Linked DNA regions of Alligator mississippiensis. The protein of the gene in region 1 interacts with the protein of each later gene in a biochemical or structural test. Links are inferred from orthologs where the notes say so. Each region holds a gene or a part of one and is shown on either strand. Other genes may lie near its edges. The genes, in order: MIS18A and OIP5.

Evidence for each region.
Region 2: the proteins of MIS18A (region 1) and OIP5 form a complex in vitro, tested with the Homo sapiens proteins (3 studies listed by BioGRID). The link is inferred for Alligator mississippiensis from reciprocal best matches to the Homo sapiens genes MIS18A and OIP5.

Annotation. Positions count from the first base shown.
Region 1 is NC_081824.1:291,156,342-291,164,848, forward strand, and holds the start of MIS18A (protein Mis18-alpha), read right to left. Parts: upstream 4,052-8,507; 5' UTR 3,990-4,051; coding exon 3,749-3,989; intron 3,658-3,748; coding exon 3,591-3,657; intron 3,371-3,590; coding exon 3,248-3,370; intron 1,946-3,247; coding exon of another isoform or gene 1,819-1,945; exon of another isoform or gene 1,778-1,818; intron 1,289-1,777; coding exon 1,195-1,288; intron 1-1,194. Other genes in the region: MRAP (melanocortin-2 receptor accessory protein), read left to right, coding at 7,526-7,631. UniProt on the Homo sapiens protein: Required for recruitment of CENPA to centromeres and normal chromosome segregation during mitosis.
Region 2 is NC_081825.1:239,936,697-239,945,170, reverse strand, and holds the start of OIP5 (protein Mis18-beta), read right to left. Parts: upstream 3,612-8,474; 5' UTR 3,381-3,611; coding exon 3,107-3,380; intron 1,666-3,106; coding exon 1,599-1,665; intron 1-1,598. Other genes in the region: NUSAP1 (nucleolar and spindle-associated protein 1), read left to right, coding at 3,716-3,937. UniProt on the Homo sapiens protein: Required for recruitment of CENPA to centromeres and normal chromosome segregation during mitosis.

The DNA.
Region 1 (8,507 bases):
TGCCAACGGCAGCCTTGGAAGGCTTGTGGTCTCCCCAGCGCTCCCCCAAAGCTGTATATTGCAGGTCTCCCCCAGAGCCCTCCCCTCTCCCACAGGTCTCTCCTGCACCCCCTCCCCTGCTGCATGAGCTACCCTGTCCCAGGGCAGGTGGCTACTAAGCTCCAGTTTTACTCTGGGCCCAGAGGTGGGGCTGCAGTAGCTGCCTGCCTCAGCCCATACTCAATCTAAAACTATTCTTCCCTCCCCTTCTCCACTCCCCTCCCATGTTGTTTGGGGAGAAGGAACCTCATCTGGGATTTGAGTAAATACAGGTATACAAGAACAGATATTATCCTGATTTCCAAATCATTATTTAACAATGCTTTATCAGCAAAAGAAGATGGACTGTAGGGTTCTCTGTACAGTTATTAGATATTGGGACAATACATACGAAATGAAAACTTGGTGGTTAAATGTCCCACTGCTGTATAAGGAGGAAAGTCTGAACTATGAGAGAGGAAATTAGGCTGTATTTCACTGATAAAAAATATAATATTTTATTTTCAATTTCATTTATGGGTTGCTTTCAAGGTGTCAGAAACAACCTAAGAAATAGAAGCAATTCATTTATGGTCTAGATACTTTTGTTTCAATCTTTTTCCATCTAAAAGAAAGTTCAAAGCTTTGTGCAATTGATTTAAACAACCTATGATTGCCTCCACCACAATCCTAGAGGCATCTGGACACTTGGCAACACAATTTCACTACTTTTTTTTCCCCCTTACATACAGCCTCCTTTCAGAGTAGATCTGAATTACAGCTTATCCCCCTAGTTCCTCCATAATTCTACATAAACTCAGAAGTCACATTTACAAAAAAAACCCCATTTCTATAGTTTCTATTTTGTAATTCTGTATATCAGAAGATTTTAAAGTTGGTTTACATATGAACGTGAATTCTTAAGGCATGGAAAACTTAGGGACCAGAACCTCTGGAGACAAGTGCTCTTCCTCGTTATAAAGAAAGGTGGCCAGAAATCCAGAGATGCATTTAATTAGCAACTTTTGTTTTTGTCAGAACTGTTCTTGGGAGGAAAGTTTTCTGAACATCTAACTTTCTGAAACTGGCTGAAATTAGAAGCAGTTATGTAGAGACACTGTATGGATGTTTTCACAGTTGTAATGAACTTTTACCAGCTTAAAAACTAAATCTTACCCTTTCTAGTGCCTCTTCCAAGCTACCTCGACTTTGAAGAGTTAAAGGCTCCTCCTCAGTTACAGCTTGCTTTTCTGATGATCCTAGGATGTAACTGATATAAAATATTTAATTATGTAATATTCAGTCAAAATGAGAAATAACCACACATACCTGGCATTTTTATAACACCAGTCAATGCAATTAGATGAAATAGAGGATGGTGCTAGTTTGTCAATCTGTAAGCCAAGAAGAAAATGTAGTTTTGTAGACCTATTATACAACAAGCATACAAGAATTCCCTATTGTCACCGATACAAATTAACATGAAGAAAGAGAATGAACTACAGGGATAACATAGCGCAGGGGGAATAAAAACATGTAAAAACAAAAAAAGTGGATGACGCTATTCAAACTTCTGAATCGGAAGTGTCACCTAACCAACCAATCCCTAAGTTAATGAGAACAGGAACAAAGAGCAACATCATTCAAAGAGCTAACATAATTGATCCAAGATTTAATTACTGAAAAATATTTTAAAACCTTCTGTTTAATAACACTACAGAAAGCCAGGTTTTAATGCTGTAGGTATATCAATCCTGACCTTCCAGATTTAAGCCCAAGGAAGCCAAAAGGTGTATTTCTTCACCCAGTTTTCAGCATGCTAACTTTGTCCTTAGACGGGTAGTTAAGACGCATTTCCTCCAAAGCAGTAGTTCTCAACATTTTTAAGACTCGAAACATCCCTTCATAACCTGAATCAAGTGGTACCCTATTTAAAAAATGAATATCAGTCAGTTTTTAACTAGAGAAAAATGACTGAAAGAGCAATTCTTCTGTTGCAACACACACAGAAAGATCACACCAGGTCAGAAGGTTTTTGACACTGGATTCCTATTTTAAATCTCTGGGTTTATTTTGTGAAATGTGTGGGTGTTTGTGCACTTAACTTTGCTAGCACTGCAGTGCCCCACAGCACCTTTAAAAGGATCACATGGCACCTAGGTTGAGAACCACATATCTAAAGGCTTGTCTTCACCTAGGTCTAATTTGATACCTTGATACTTGGTCTTTACATACACAGACTTCTGGGTAGGATTGCAGCCAAGACACCGTATTCCAGTCTTGTGTATGTAATGACACTCGATGTATTTGAACTATTTCATGAATGAACACCTAAGTTATGAAACTATCAGGGATTACCCCACATCAAATGCAGAATCTTTCCATATATCGAGCATTCCAACATAGACAGCAAAAACAGAAAATACATTTCTTAAACTAAAGGAGTACAGAGAAGCAACCAGTAACCATCCCTACCCTTTCACGAGTGTTGTAAACTCCTGAATAGAGAAACATCCTCCATTTCTGACAGTGAAGCAATCAAATTAAAAGGCAAAAACACTTGCACGCTTACCTGACAAGAGGAACTGTGGCAGGGGTGGGCAAAATGACCACGCCAGCAGCCAGACTCCATTTCCCAGCAGCCCCTGCCCTCATGGCTAGGGCGGTTCTCCATGGAGACCCCAGCCCCTGTAGAAGGGCAGGCTGGGGTTGTTGTCATGGAGACCAGCCTGAGCCGCACCAACAGCATGTGTGGCAGAGCAGCGCAGGGGGCTGCTCCAGAGCTGCTGGGAACACGGGATGGGGGCAGCTTGCTCCAGAGCCAGGAGAGCCGTGATCTGCAGCCTGCACACTCCAGGCAGAGGCGTGCAGGCAGGGGATTGTGGCTCAGGCCCAGCTCTTAGAAGCAGCGACAGCCTGTTCTGGAGCCAGGGCACAGCCACAATCCCCTGCTCAGAGTGTGCAGGCTACAGATCATGGCTCTGCCCTAGCTCTGGAGCAAACTGCCCCCATCACAAGATCCCAAGAGCTCTGTCACACATGCTGCCAACATGGCTCAGGCTGGTCTGCATGACAACCCTAGCCTGAGCTTTCCTGTGCAGGTGCGGCTGGGGTCACCATGGAGACCGGCTCAAGCCATGCAGGCAGGGGCGGCTGGGAGCTGGAGTCCACAGCCGACTGGACCCGGCTTGCAGGCCAGACTTTGCCAGTCCCTGAACTATGGTCTTACCTTTCAATAGCGTCAACGCTGAAACAGAATAAATCTCTCTTATAGTCCAGGTGTTTGGGGGTGCATCTGTAGATGGTCCCAAGATTCACTGAGCACCCAGAGCAGAGCAGCGTTTCAATCATGCTACAAGCAAAATACTTATCACTAAATTAGCAGACGTCGAGAAGAATTTTTAGGATGACCAAGATTAGTCAAATACCCACTTCTGGCCTTCCCGCATCCACCCCCACTGCGGACATCTTATACAAACAGAGAGCACAGCTAAGAGGTCTCAAATGTATCCAACTGGCTCTGCCCCCTACGGTAGCCATCCCCTGAGCCGGCCCCCGCAGGGGTCACTCACCAGCCGTACTCGCCGGGCCGGCTGGACAGCTTCTGCTCCTTATCCACCAGCACGTTGGAAGTGACATCTGCAAGGGAAAGCCAACCGTCACCAACCGCCCCCCAACGGTCGGGCAGACAGGGATGAGGGGGACGGGGTTGATGCAGGGCAGGACTCACTGCGCAGCATGACACAGGACCCCTCCTCGTCGTTGGCCTCCCAGCTCAGCGTGTCGCCCACCGGCCGCTTGCAGCCGGCGCAGAGAAACACCATAGGCAGCTCCTGCCCCTCCTCCTCCACTTCCCCCCCACCGTTCCGCCCCGCCGCCGCCGCCTCGGGCCCGCAGCTGCTGTCTAGCCCCAGCACGGACAGCTGCGAGTCCAGCGCCACGCCCGGCGGTACAAACGGCCCGCCCGCCATAGCCAACCACCCGGCCAACGGCCGCTGGCACTCCCCAGCCAATCAGCGAGCGCCGGCAGCGGAAGCAACGCACCCGCAGCCTCAACCCCACGGCACAGCCCCGCCTCCCCTTCCGGAAGTGGACAGGAGTACGCCCCGCCCCTTTTCTGCCCGTCACGTGACCGGCGCCCTTGCAGTTCGGGCCATAAGGGGTTTCGGGCGTCAGTGCAAGGGAACGGCTGGTATGCGCATGCCCGAGGGGCTGGACTGGGCGTTGATCCAGTAACATTGAGTTTTATTTATTTATTTGGTCTAATAAAAGATATTGCCTCCACCCAAAGACTTCGCCCGCCTTTCAGCATTGCCAACTCTCATGATTTTGGGCAGTCGTTGTTAAAGGCCACACTTCGGGAACGTGAAAAGCGTAGCTTTTTCTTTTATATATATATTATATAAAATGTTATACATAGTGTGTGTGTATATATATACACACACACACACACACACACACTGTATAATATAACATTTTATATAATATATACACACACACACTATGTATAACATTATATATGAGAGAGAGCTACTTTTTAAAAATTCCCAAAGTTAAGAACAACGCTAAAAATCACGAGAGTCGGTGACACTGTTTGGCCCAATAACAAGTACCCACACCCACAAATAAAAGTCCTACCTTCCACATGTTTGCAGGGCAGACACCCCATCAGCGCTGCCAGGCATTTTCATAGACTGGGGGTGGGCAAGATCCGGTCTACTAAGGCATTTTGTTTGTGTGCAGCCCACAGCGGGACCGCCTGGCCCAGGCATGGGGGCAGCCCAAGCTGTGGCACATGTGGGTGATGCCGCCATCCTTCTGCTAGCCAGGCATCCTCCCAACACCTGAAGATGCCTGGCTAGCAGAAGGACAAAGGGAGAACAATTACTTCCCTCCCTGGTTTCTGTTTCCTACTTTGTATATGCCATACCCATTTATTCAGAGTCAGTCTTACCACAGCTTCTTTACAATTCATTCGTCTCCCTGGTTTATACAGGCATTTCACAAAGCCAAGGGGAGAACACTATGTTCTCTTAAGAAGAGAACGGTATGCTTGTAAACCCCCAAAATACTGGAAGGAAGAATGGACCAAGAACTATCCTGATCTGCGGGGTTCCATTTCTGTTTTGCCACAGATTTCTTTGGTGACCCTGGACCAGTCACTGAGGCCCAGATCCTCAAAGGGTTGTACCCAACTCCTGCTGAAATCAGTGGACTTCAGACATCCAGTTACAGTGTAGGGTCTGTGTGGAAGTCTTTACTTCTCAGTTTTCAAACAACCAAATGCAAACACTACTTCTCTACTTTGCAGGGAGTGTTCTGAAAATGTGTGTGTCGAAGAGTGCAAGGTGCTCAGATACTTCGCTGCGAAGTGGATCACAGAAGGATCTAAGATAGAGAGATCGATGCATATTTTGATCTTGACTAGAGTTAATTTTAACTAACCTGATGCCAACTGCTCTATTTCTAATTTCCAGCCCGCATTAAAAATAAGTGCTCCCGTGAACAGCGCGTGTCCCCAGCAGCTGGGGGGGGCACGGCTGCGCTGGCAGCAGCAGGAGCCTGGCAGCAGTGAGTGGGGAGCTCCCACAGATGCCACCGGCACTGTCGGCAGCCAGGGGAGGGGTGACGAGTGCTGACCAGAGGTCAGTGACCACCCGCGACCAGGGGTGATCATGGGCTGGCGGCGGTGTGGCAGGGACTGCACCCCCTTTTTGCAGGGGGCGCACTGCCATGCTCACGGGGTGCACATGCACCCACGTGCACATGCTATGCGTTACCCCTTAGTGCTCCTTTACAGTTTGTTTGTTTTGGAAATGCTAGCAGAGATTCTACTTCCACTGTATTTCCTTTGCTCCAGAGCAAAAAAAAAATGTGGCATTGTTTAGACAGATGCTTTATAGTGACTAAACCTATTACCAGACTGTCTCCTTTGAGAATGAAGTTTTCCAGGACCTGCATCTGAATAAATTGCCATCTCTGATTTGAAAAGCCATGGTGCATCTCATAGTCCTTAGGGATAGAATTAAAAACTAATAGAGGGTCTGTTTCTCTGTTAATGTTAGTCATTTCTGTGCTAATAAATTAGATTGAGCATGTATGTTTATATTAGTGTAGGCACTTCAAAGGTTACTTTTGGCAACCTTTGAAGTGCCTTCACAAACATAAACATACATGCTCAATCTAATTTATTAGCACACAAATGAATCTATTTTGCTTCTAGGCTGATGGGGCGGGGCTCTATTTTTATGTTGTTTTTTGGCAGAACCAAAGGGGTGTTAAAACACAAACATTTTTAATATTTCATACATAATGTATAGTTGCTTCAATACTTCCTTATGTTTATGAAGTGTTTCATGAGGTCCTTTAGGGGTCTGTATATGACATATTCAGTATTGTTTTTAGTATATTTTATATTTGGCCGGTCAAGAATATCTCTTTCGTTGTTGCTAGGCACTCATTGTGACGAGTTATAATTTAGCTTGGGTTTTGTTCATTCTTTTACTGTCTACCTTGCATCTGTATCAATATAAAACAGTATGGGAAGTAGTACATATTTCTCTACCTAAACAGTAGATGACACGTATAAATTTGGTAGAAGGTACGCATCTGACAAAGTAGTTTGTTGCCTACAAATGTTCATGCTGCTCTGAACTAGTTAGTCTCTCAGGACATTTTCACATGGTTCGGGGGTGAGGGAGAGGGCTCTGAGAGCTGCTCTAATTAAAGCACCCAGAGCATCTCATGTATTAGCATCCCCATGCTTCAAAATAGTGGCAGGGGTGCTTTATCTAAAGCTTGTTGAACAAGTTTTAGTTAAAGTGTCCCCGCCATCATTTTGTAGTGCGAGGACATTGATACATGAGACGTGGAGGCTGGCTGGAGCACACTAATTAGCATGCTTCAGCTGGTATCAAGTCTGCTCCGATGTGCTGTAATTACAGTGTACTGGAGCAGCCTCCCAGCTCATGTACAGGCACCCTCAGGTGCCACCCTTCCCTGCCTTCTGCCCAGTGGTGTACCATGGATCTTCCATTTGCACCCCCCCAATCCACGGCCGATCGCTAAGTGGGGAGGGAGGGTCCCCCCAACAGCCAGACGCTAAGTGGGAGCAGGGCCCGGCGGCCAATTGCCAAGCCAGGAATCACCAGTGGCAAAACTGGAAGTGCCACCAGGGGACTGAGTACCCCTGCCCCACCAGTCCGGCACCCAGGGGCATGGCCTCCCCATGCCTCACTCCCTTTGGTATGCCACTGCTTCTGCCTGACTTCAGACTAACAAGGCTAACCCCCTCTGTGTATAAGTTTAGTATTAAATGTCTGTCACAGGCTGATATTAATTTCTGCTAAGTTTTTTTAGTATCTGAGCAGTCCTTGAGCTGCAGGATGTGAGGTCTTCCAGAATGATTTACATAGGCATCAGGTACTCAGTGTCTTTTTGAGAACTCCAAAGTACAATGAAACAAAGTATCAGATCAGAGCAGAGCTGATTGAAATATACTACTGAAATGGCTAACAAAACAAACTCATCTGAGTATTACTGGTCTTATGAATATTATTGGGACTATTTTGATCCATTTCCAGTAGATGGAAGGATGTTGAAGGTTCATAAATGTAAGTACTACATGTAGCAGCTAATCTACTATGGGAAGCATTAGAAAACAGAATAGGATGACTAGTTTCTTTTACATGTGTTTTCACTTTGTAATATAGACCATACTGGAATACATATATTGGGCAATATATGCTGATTGGGTTCTAATACCAGCTGATGCTAATGGTACAATATTATTTTATTTAGTATAAAGAATGTATATTCTAGAAATATTTTGGTATTAACTCCTAATTGGAAAGACAGCTTATTGAACTCTTTATTAACTGGAAATTGTTCTGAAATGCAGATAAATGGTTTGACATATTCCTGGCTATTTTGTACAGTAGAATAACAATAGATTAATATGCTTACAGATTTGCCAGTTATCTTTCCTTCTTGAAATACAAGGTTTGCACTGAAATTTTTGTGCATTTTTATATATTATTGAAAAAGAAGCTGTATTTTGATCAGTTAGGAAGAGCCACAAATTGAATACACATTTGCTACTTATTTCCTTATTTCTTTAATCTGGCATTCCTCTTTAGCTCATCATCGTGATCTCTATCATTTCATAATGCATTATAACAGCTATCATAGTGCTATGAAAACTTAAAAGCAAGTTGAACTATGAATCCTGTATTTAAAATACTGCACAGCAGGGGAACTAGATCCCTGTACCTTTTAGATATTTATTTTTAGTTGATGGTAAACTAAGTGTCATGCACCAAATCCAAGTATATTAATGTAACCTGGAGACTAATAATCTTTGTTTTCCCCAAATATTGAGTTTTAAATGTAGTCTGAATCAACATAACTGATCAAATTATTGAGGCATTCTGGTGACTGATTTAGCAAGTACTTAAGTGCTTTGTCAAATCAGGCCCCAAATGATTTAC
Region 2 (8,474 bases), on another chromosome or scaffold:
TAGTGCAGAAACACTGCTGTCTAGAATAATGATTTTCAGCCAGGGTCCCGTGGCTCAGGGTCTCCCTCTCTGGTCTACAAGGTGAAAATGTACCCTGACTTTTCCCTCCCTGGCAAAGCCTCCATTCCCACTACTATTCCCTCTGCAAGGAAGTAAGAACTGTGATAAATTAGTTTTGAAGTGGAGCACTGCTTAATTCATAACAGTCATGGAGGGGTGCCTTGAGTCTAAAAAGGCTGAGAACTAATCGTCTAGAGCAGGGGTAGGCAATGTTTTTTGGCCAAAGCGCCGAAAAACACCACAATGCCTACCTTGCAAGGTGCCAGAGTGCTGGCATGCCAGAAAAACAAAATGAGGGCAAGGGGTACATAGAATGCCCTGTTTGTGCCCCTTGCCCCCCCTGCCCCCCAGTTCTGTGCCCCCTCCAAAGCCCCTGCCCCCCAGCCCTCCTACCCTGTGCAGCTGCAGCAAGCAGCTGGCAGGGTACAAACATCTGAGCTGGGCTCCACAGCTCCAGCATCAGCTCCATCCTGGTGGTGAGTGCATGCGCACTCAGAGCAGACAGTGGGGCAGCAGAGCCTGCCCAAGGTGCCCGTGCAGTCACCGCCAGCACAGAGCTGATGCTGGAGCTATGGAGCCTGGTGCAGCTGTTTGCAGCCTGCCCCCTGCTTGCTGCAGCTGCCCAGAGCCCAGGCTGGCTGCAAACAGCTGCGCCGGGCTCTGGAACCCTGCTATCACCTCTGTGCCAGGAGCAGGCGAGAAACTGGGGCTGCGCTGCCTCAGGTTCCACCCCACCACCCGCTCCGACACGTGGGTGCACGCGTTGGTACGGAGCTGATGTGGCGTGCTGAGCAAAATAGCCTCATGTGCCATGCTCAGCACGCATGCCGGGGGTTGCTGACCCCTGGTCTAGAGACTTGCTTATACCAATTGATTCATAAATAGTTGTTCACTTTCAGCACAAAAAAAGGTATCAGAACCAAAACATACGCTCTCTCCCTCTCCCCATCACACACAACCCCCCAGACTTTGTGGGGGATGGGGGAGATACCGTTTCTTTTTACAGCTAGCAAATTGCCAGCTGCCACTGGAAACCTCCCCCCAACCCTCTTCCCTGCCACCTACCCCCCACAGGCTGTTGTTGGCCGGGGTACTGCGGCAGCTACCTCGCTCCCTGTCCGTAACACTCCAGACCCTCCCAGCCAATTGATGCGTGCCCTCTCAGTGCATGCGCAGTTGTCCTGGAGTGTGACAGACAGACGCTTTTATTATATTAGAATTGTTCAAATGTTCTCCCTACTTCAAATATAGCAAATGTCTAGATGCATGTGAAAGGGGAAGAAAGGAATGGAACGTATGCTGTAGATTTGCAAAGGCTTTTTTCAGTAAGAGACTACAGTAGGCAGGTCCGAAACCAAACTAAGTATTTGTCAGTTTTGTAAGCCCATCCAAGAGTAAGCTAGTGATTTTAAAAATGTTTCTCCAGATGACTTGTTTGAAGTCAGAGGCACCACAATAACCCTCACCTGCTCTACTAGGTCAGCATCTCAAACAGAAAACTGGTATCAAAACCAAGAAACAGTATTTGAAATACCTACCATCCTAGGAGGGACCCGTCAATACCAACTCTTAAGGAATCTTCTAGAACAACATCTTCTGTAACTTCTGAGAAAGACAAATCCAGAGTCATATACCACAGATCATTCATTAAAATTTCCATTTCCCCTTAAGATAACTGAGTTCTGGACTTCCTGTATATAGGCTTGGGAGGAGTCACATTTGTTTAATCTTTGTTTTAATGGAAACATACTGATCCATCTCCATGTTTCTAACATCTGTTGATTTAGGAGAAAGTTATGGCCAGATCCAAGAAGCCTTAAGATGCACTTCAAAAGCCCAGGCCTAAGAGCACAGTCCACAAAACCTCTCCACACCTACTGAGGTGCCCAAAAGTCTACTACTACGCAATGATAGAAGTGCCAGTCTGGTACCCAACATAAGCCTACAGCCACCGGGGATACCCAATTTGTGAATCCAGCAGACAGGCCCAGCGTGCCTCTCTCACGCTGTCAGCATTGCATTCAGCACATAGCACAGCAGCTGGAGCCACTTCCAGATGTGATCACCTTTTTCATACAGTAGCCTGTGGTTGACATCCTCACCCAGGGAGCAGCCATACCAGGCAGCCAAAATAGCCTCCTGGGGCCAGTGGGGCTTGTTTGCCAACAAAATCTATGGCATCAAGAAGCTGGATAGCTCCGTTTTTAAAGAAACAGAGCAAAAAAGTGCCCTACGCCTAAAGGACATGGACATACAAGGCAACCTGGACCAGGATAAAGATGCGCAGGACTTTCCAACCCCCGCAGCTGTTGTATAACTGCACTGCATAAAATCACTGGGCAGCTGAGACAGACTTTGAGATGGTGAAATAAGAACTGGAGCTGTGCCTGCCTGGGAGGGGTGCATGGGAAAGCTAAGACCACAGACTCAACTAGCAGGGCACAGCTGAGGCACACCAGCTCCATAGTAACCGCTGTGAGTCCCTGGTAAAAAGAGGAGTGCATCTGTTGAAGCTCTCTCTTCCCTGAAGGAGAGACCTAGATGCTCATGGGCTCTGCCTTGCTGCAGAGGAGGAGGGGGGCTACCAGGAAGCAGCTAACTCCCACCTGGATACACCTGTACCATACTGTGGGGCACCAGGCACCTGCCACCAGCCTGGGGCAGGCTAAAACCAGAGGAGAGGTTTACTCTGGGACAAAGCAGTTTACCCTGGGATCCCGGGGGCTCAGGCTGAAGACAGCGGAGAGGTCCCAGAGGGGGCTTGACTCATCAGGGCAATCCCTGACAGGAAGCCTGCGTGCCAACTAGCACGGATGAGCCTGGCTTGTCCCAGGCAGGCCCCGACAGCGGGCGCAGGGCCAGGTGCGCCCGCCTGCTCACCCATCCGCGAGATCCCAGGGGGAGTGTCGTTGTCCCGGAGCGCTCAGCCCGGCGGCCCCGCAGCGAGCACAGCCCAGTGCCCCGGACAGTCCGAGCTTCGCTAGGAGGCAGGCAATGGGCTCCGAGGCCGGGCCCGGGCTCGGGCCCTCGCCCCGCCGGCACTCACTGAAGCAGGCGAGGACGCGGAGGCGCCGCTCCTCCTGAGCGCACAGGTGTAGCGAGTCGCTCAGCACGGCGTAGCAGCCCCGACACTGGAACACGGCGCAGTCCTGCGGCCGCAACCGGCGCCGCCGCAGAGCCGCCGCCCCGGTGCTCGCCTCCGCCGCTGCCTTCCGCGCGCTGCCCGCGGGGGCCGCCGCCGCCGGCCGCTCCACCATGATGGCACCGTCGATCTCAGGGTCCTGGAAGAACTGCTGCAGCAGCCTCCGCCGCACCGCCATCTTCTCGCACCCGGCTCCTGCCGCGCGTTCGAATGCACCTCCCCTCCCTCGATTGGGTGCCTGCCTCCCAGCCCTGCACTCGCATTGGCAGCCACACACCTCAATCTCTCCCCTCACTCCTCCCTCTCTCTCTTACTGTCTCCGCACGCCCACGCCGCTTGCCTGAGGGAGTCCTCCTCTACTGTCGTCATCCTGCTGTCCAATCAGATCGTGAGGATGTAGCGCCGGGCGGGGCTTTCAGTCCAGGCCGTTCGAAAAAAAACAAACCCGCGCCGCCGGAGCCCCATTGGTCGGAGCTTTGCCTAAGGCACCCGCCTCTCGTGGCAGTTCTGCCAATGGGAGAGCCGGACAGCGCCAGTTCGAACGGGGGGCGGGGACGGGCTGTTGAGCGCCGGATTCAAAGCGGACGGTTGACGCGCGGCGTAGGGATTATTCAGTGCGGCTCGGACCGGGCCGTCGCCATCATGGAGCCGCTCTCCCTGCGCCCGTTGGAGTCGCTCAAGTATTGTGAGCTGCAACAGGTGGCCAAGGTCGCTGGACTCCGCGCTAATCTCAAGGTGGGAGCGGGGCCCCGGGAGGGGAGCTGGGAGGTGTTCCTGCCTCGTAGGTGCCGGGGCGGTAGTAGCGCGGGGCCGGGCCCCGGTGCCTCGTCGAGTGCTCAGCCCCGGTGTGCGCCGCGGTCCTCCTTCGCCGGCGGTGCGCCCGCAGGTCCTTGCTGCGGGAGCCCGGGGTCACCTCGAGCCGAGTCCCAAGAGGCGGGAGCTGTCTCCTGGGTCTCAGGCGCGGCGGCAGGAAAGCTATGGGTGCAAGTACACGGCGGAGAACTGGGGTCGGAACTCTTGGCAGAGGTGGTCTCTTTTAGATATTTGCAAGCATCTGTCTTTATTCTCATAGGAGAGGGAAAAGGTTGTAAAGTTTCTCCGCGGTGGAAATGAAAATTCGTATTTCGCAGGAGAGCAGAAGGTGGTGCAAGATCTCCTGGCTGGAATAGTTAATTTTGGCAAATTAGGCTTAGGTGGAAGTTAGAACAGCCCATTTTATCTCGGTGCTGTCTGGAGTCAAGCAGGATGTTGAATTATGTTTCCTTCCAGTGATGACATTTCATCTCTCACAGGAGGGCGGTGATGGACTGGTCTCCTGGGCAAGGAATTTCTCTTAGATTCATAGATCTTGTGCCGAGGCAGCTTTGAGCTCTGTGAAGATGCAGATTTATCTGGAACAACAATAGGCAGAAACCAGGGTGTCAGCTTTCAGGTTTCAGTAAAAAAATTTTTTGCAAATATCTAGTTGGTCTAACAAAAGTCTGCCATGAGTTATAATTCCTTTTGCCAGCATAGAGACCAATAGGCTACAGCCTGTATCCCTGAAACTGGATAACTGTGCCTTTAAGAAGCTCTGGCATTGGGCCTATTGGGATTTGTTGTTTCTTACTGTGCTTTCTATCTGCAAGCCAGGTGTGCCAGGGAAGAGGCAGTAGAGTTTGAGCAATATTACATAAATGTTCAGGGTACTATTCCATGACACACAAGCAAGATGTATTTAAATAGAAAGGTGAGGAGAGGGGGGCTGCCCAGAGAAGCTGACAGCCGATGGATTGGCTCCCTGGAGATGGAGGCAGCTCACTCCCAGCTGGAGGGACACCAGAGGAAGCAGCCAGTTCAGGTAATGGGATAAGAAACGCCAGTCCCCTTTGAGACAGTGGCTGAGGTAGTCCTGCCTGCCGCTGACTTCTTGTGCTGCAATTATTATGTTGAAGTGGGAATTTAAAATGTTGTTTTAAGAAGAGCTCCTCGGGCCAGTCGTGAGGTGTCAGAGGAGGCTGAGGTGTTTGGCCACCAGCTTTCATTAAGTTTCTGGGCTAGATGTCTGTTCATTCTTTTGCCTAGGAATTGCCTTTATCTGGCTGATGTAAGCACTGTAAGCTGGTGATGGTATGTAAGTTGTTGGTGGAAGAATAGAGGAATAAACCCCAGATGTTATAATTCATTATGTTTGGTCCAGTGGGGATGTGGTCTGTGTTTGAGAAGACATAACTGGCATCCAGCAGTCTATTCATAGCATCTTATTAAGTATTTTCCATGCCTCCTACAAAAGCCTCTGAATCGCTTAGTCTCTAAGGTGTCACCCTGCCCTGTCTTCTTTTTGGGAATCTGCTATTAGTGCTGTTTACAGGGAGTCAAAGCTGCTCAAAAGAGACTTACTGTTTATTTATTAGACAGAACAATTAGGGAAGCAATTTTAAAGCAGTTAATGTGCATGTCTACCGTGTGTTCTACTATCTCATGGTGGTAACCTAAGGTTCCCTGAGAATAAGCCTCTGGCTGGGAGCAGGTTTACAGTTAGAGCTTTGCCAGAACAGATGTACAAGTCCAGTGATACCCATGCTGGCTCTTCACTGAAATTGATTTTGAACTGGAGTGTCCTTGTTGCAGTTTACCTAAAGGTGCTTATTTTACAGCTCTCTAGTCAACAGTGACTGCTTATGTGGCTCCTATGACTGAGTCGCATAGTGTCAAAGGCTGCTTCTTGGCTGTTAGGCTAAGATCAGTATTATACTCAGTATGTGGGTTTAGCAAAGGAATGTTCCCTGACCAAATGAAAATAAGATATACCAGCAAACGAACAATTTTGAAAATGAACAATGAATAACTGCTTCTGCGCCAGCGACTTCTGAGAGGCTGTTAGCCCATTAGCCTGAAGTCAGGCAGAAGGCAGGGTAGAGATGCACCTGGCTTTTGCAAGCAATGTTTTTCACATGTCATCCTCCTCCTATTGATATAACTATGATGGCAAATATTCTAATATAAAAGCCTAAGTCTGTCGGTAACGCTTTATTCACGCTGTGATTGGCTGACAGAAACAGTCAATCGGAGTGCTCCAAGCGTGGGGGAGCACCGCTGTGATTCCAAAGCCAGGCAGAGGACTGGACAGAGGGTGGGGAGCTGAGGCCCCCACCCTGCTCCTTGCAAGAGGCAGAACTGCGGCAGCATGGGGCGTTAGGTGGTGGGACACCATCCCAGCCCCCTCTCCCCGGTCATTTGTGACCGGTAATTGGCTAGTTTGTTATAAAGCTGTAGCCCTCATCTCAAATAAATAACCATCAGACTTTCCATCTCATGCCATCTCCCATGCCTGAACGTGTCTTTGAATCTTTGACCCCCCCCCCCCCCCCCACTAATTTAAACAGTCAATGGGCTGAATCTGACCTGTGGAGCTCTATGATCTGGTCTGTGGGTCTTGGGCCAATCCCCACATACCACATGTGGCACACACTAGCCCCAGTGCCTCATGTAGCACAGGGGGTCAGTCTTGGGTACATGTTGCATGCAGTTCCCACAGAAGACCAGCCCTGGGCACTAGCTCTGGGCTAGTCTGGATTGGACCTACAGACCATCCCTGTATGCTGGAGCCAGTGTGTAGGGCTGGTCCAGAATGGGCACCACATGCAGTACATGCCCCATGCTGGGCTTGCTTGCAGTATGAACCCTGGACCAGGGCCAGCATGTGCTGCATGTGGTGTGTGGGGTTGGACTGAATGCAGGCAGAGCACATGGGGCCAATCTGTAGCACATGCTTCCTGCAGTGCCCCTCCAGACTGGGCCTGTGCACTATATCTGGGGCCAGTTTGGATCAGGGCCACAGACTGACCCTACACACTGGAGCCAGCATACAGGGCCAGTTTGACAGGGACACTTCATGCATTAAGTACCTCATGCCTGCTCTGTGAGCCCTGGCCCAGGGCCACTGCATGCTGCTTAAGTGCATGAGGTGCCTGCACCAGACCAACCCTGCTTCCTGGCTCTGGTGTGTGCAGCTGGTCTGTGAGCTTGATCCCTGTGGGGCTGGAACTATTTGATGTCCTTGGCTTAAATCTTGCTAGAGTTCTTTGTTGTTCCCATGTTATCTGAATTTGCAATCGGGACCATAGAATTGGTGGTCTTGGAAAGAACCATTAGATCTTCTAGATTGGGATATTCAAGCTGCAGCTCATGGGCCATATCTGGCTCCTGGTGCCTTGCCATCCAACCTGTGGGGCTCCTTATGGGTCTATGGGGAGCCTGGTGGGCTGTGGCACTATGTCCTAGATTGGACACATGGGGGGGGCAATCTTGGCATGTGGGGCCAGATGAAGGGATGATGTGGGGCCCTGATCCTTGTATGTGGGGCTGGGCAGAGGTGACAGTCCAGATCTGGGTGTGTGGGCATGATCCTGAGGTGCAGGGTCTGATTAGCCCACAGATCAGCTCTGTACCACTCGTTTGGTCTCAAGGACCAAAGGGTTGAGTACTGCTATTTTAGATTACCTGTTATATAAAGAAAGCAACAATACTCACAAAAATTATCAGTTTTCAGTTTTGCTACTTGGGGAAAACTAAGAGTATAACTACACTGTGGAGAACTGTACCTTTAAGAAACACTGGCATTGAGCCTATTGGGATCTGCTGTTTCTTACTTTACTTTCTATCTGTAAGTCAGGCATGCCAGTGAAGAGGAAGACTCTGAACGTAATTCAGAAAGAAATCTAGCTGATTCTAAAGCATTTAGTAGTTTTGAGTTCACTGAGACAGAGTTTGAGCAATATTACAGAAATTTAGTACTTACTAAATAACTGCTGGTACTGTGCAGTCCTGGCACTGCACAGGTCATTTCTGACCCTACTGGGTAGTCGCTCATCACTACTACACAGTAGCAGCGCTGTCACAGTTCATGCCCACTGACACTGTTGCTGTAGCAACAAGCTATGTCGCTGTAGCTATGGTGACATAGCATCTCATATAGATGTGCCCACTGTGTCTAAGACCAGCAGACAAGTGGGCATAAACCGGCTGGGAAATTTGAACACTGTCCCATGACGTAAGATAGGCTTGCTGCATTGGAGCCAGGTTATGGTGATCAGCTGCAGAGTCCTGGGATTTCCAGTTATGGTGGGAGGACCAAATTGGGAGGCTGGGTCATGCCCCAGTTAAGACATGGGTAAATGACCAAATTAAGATGTTTGAATGTGATGGGTTTGGGGAAACAAGGAATATGTTGACAGAACAAAATGTGGATAGTGTGATGACAGCAGGAAAACCAATCAATGGTAGCCGGAAA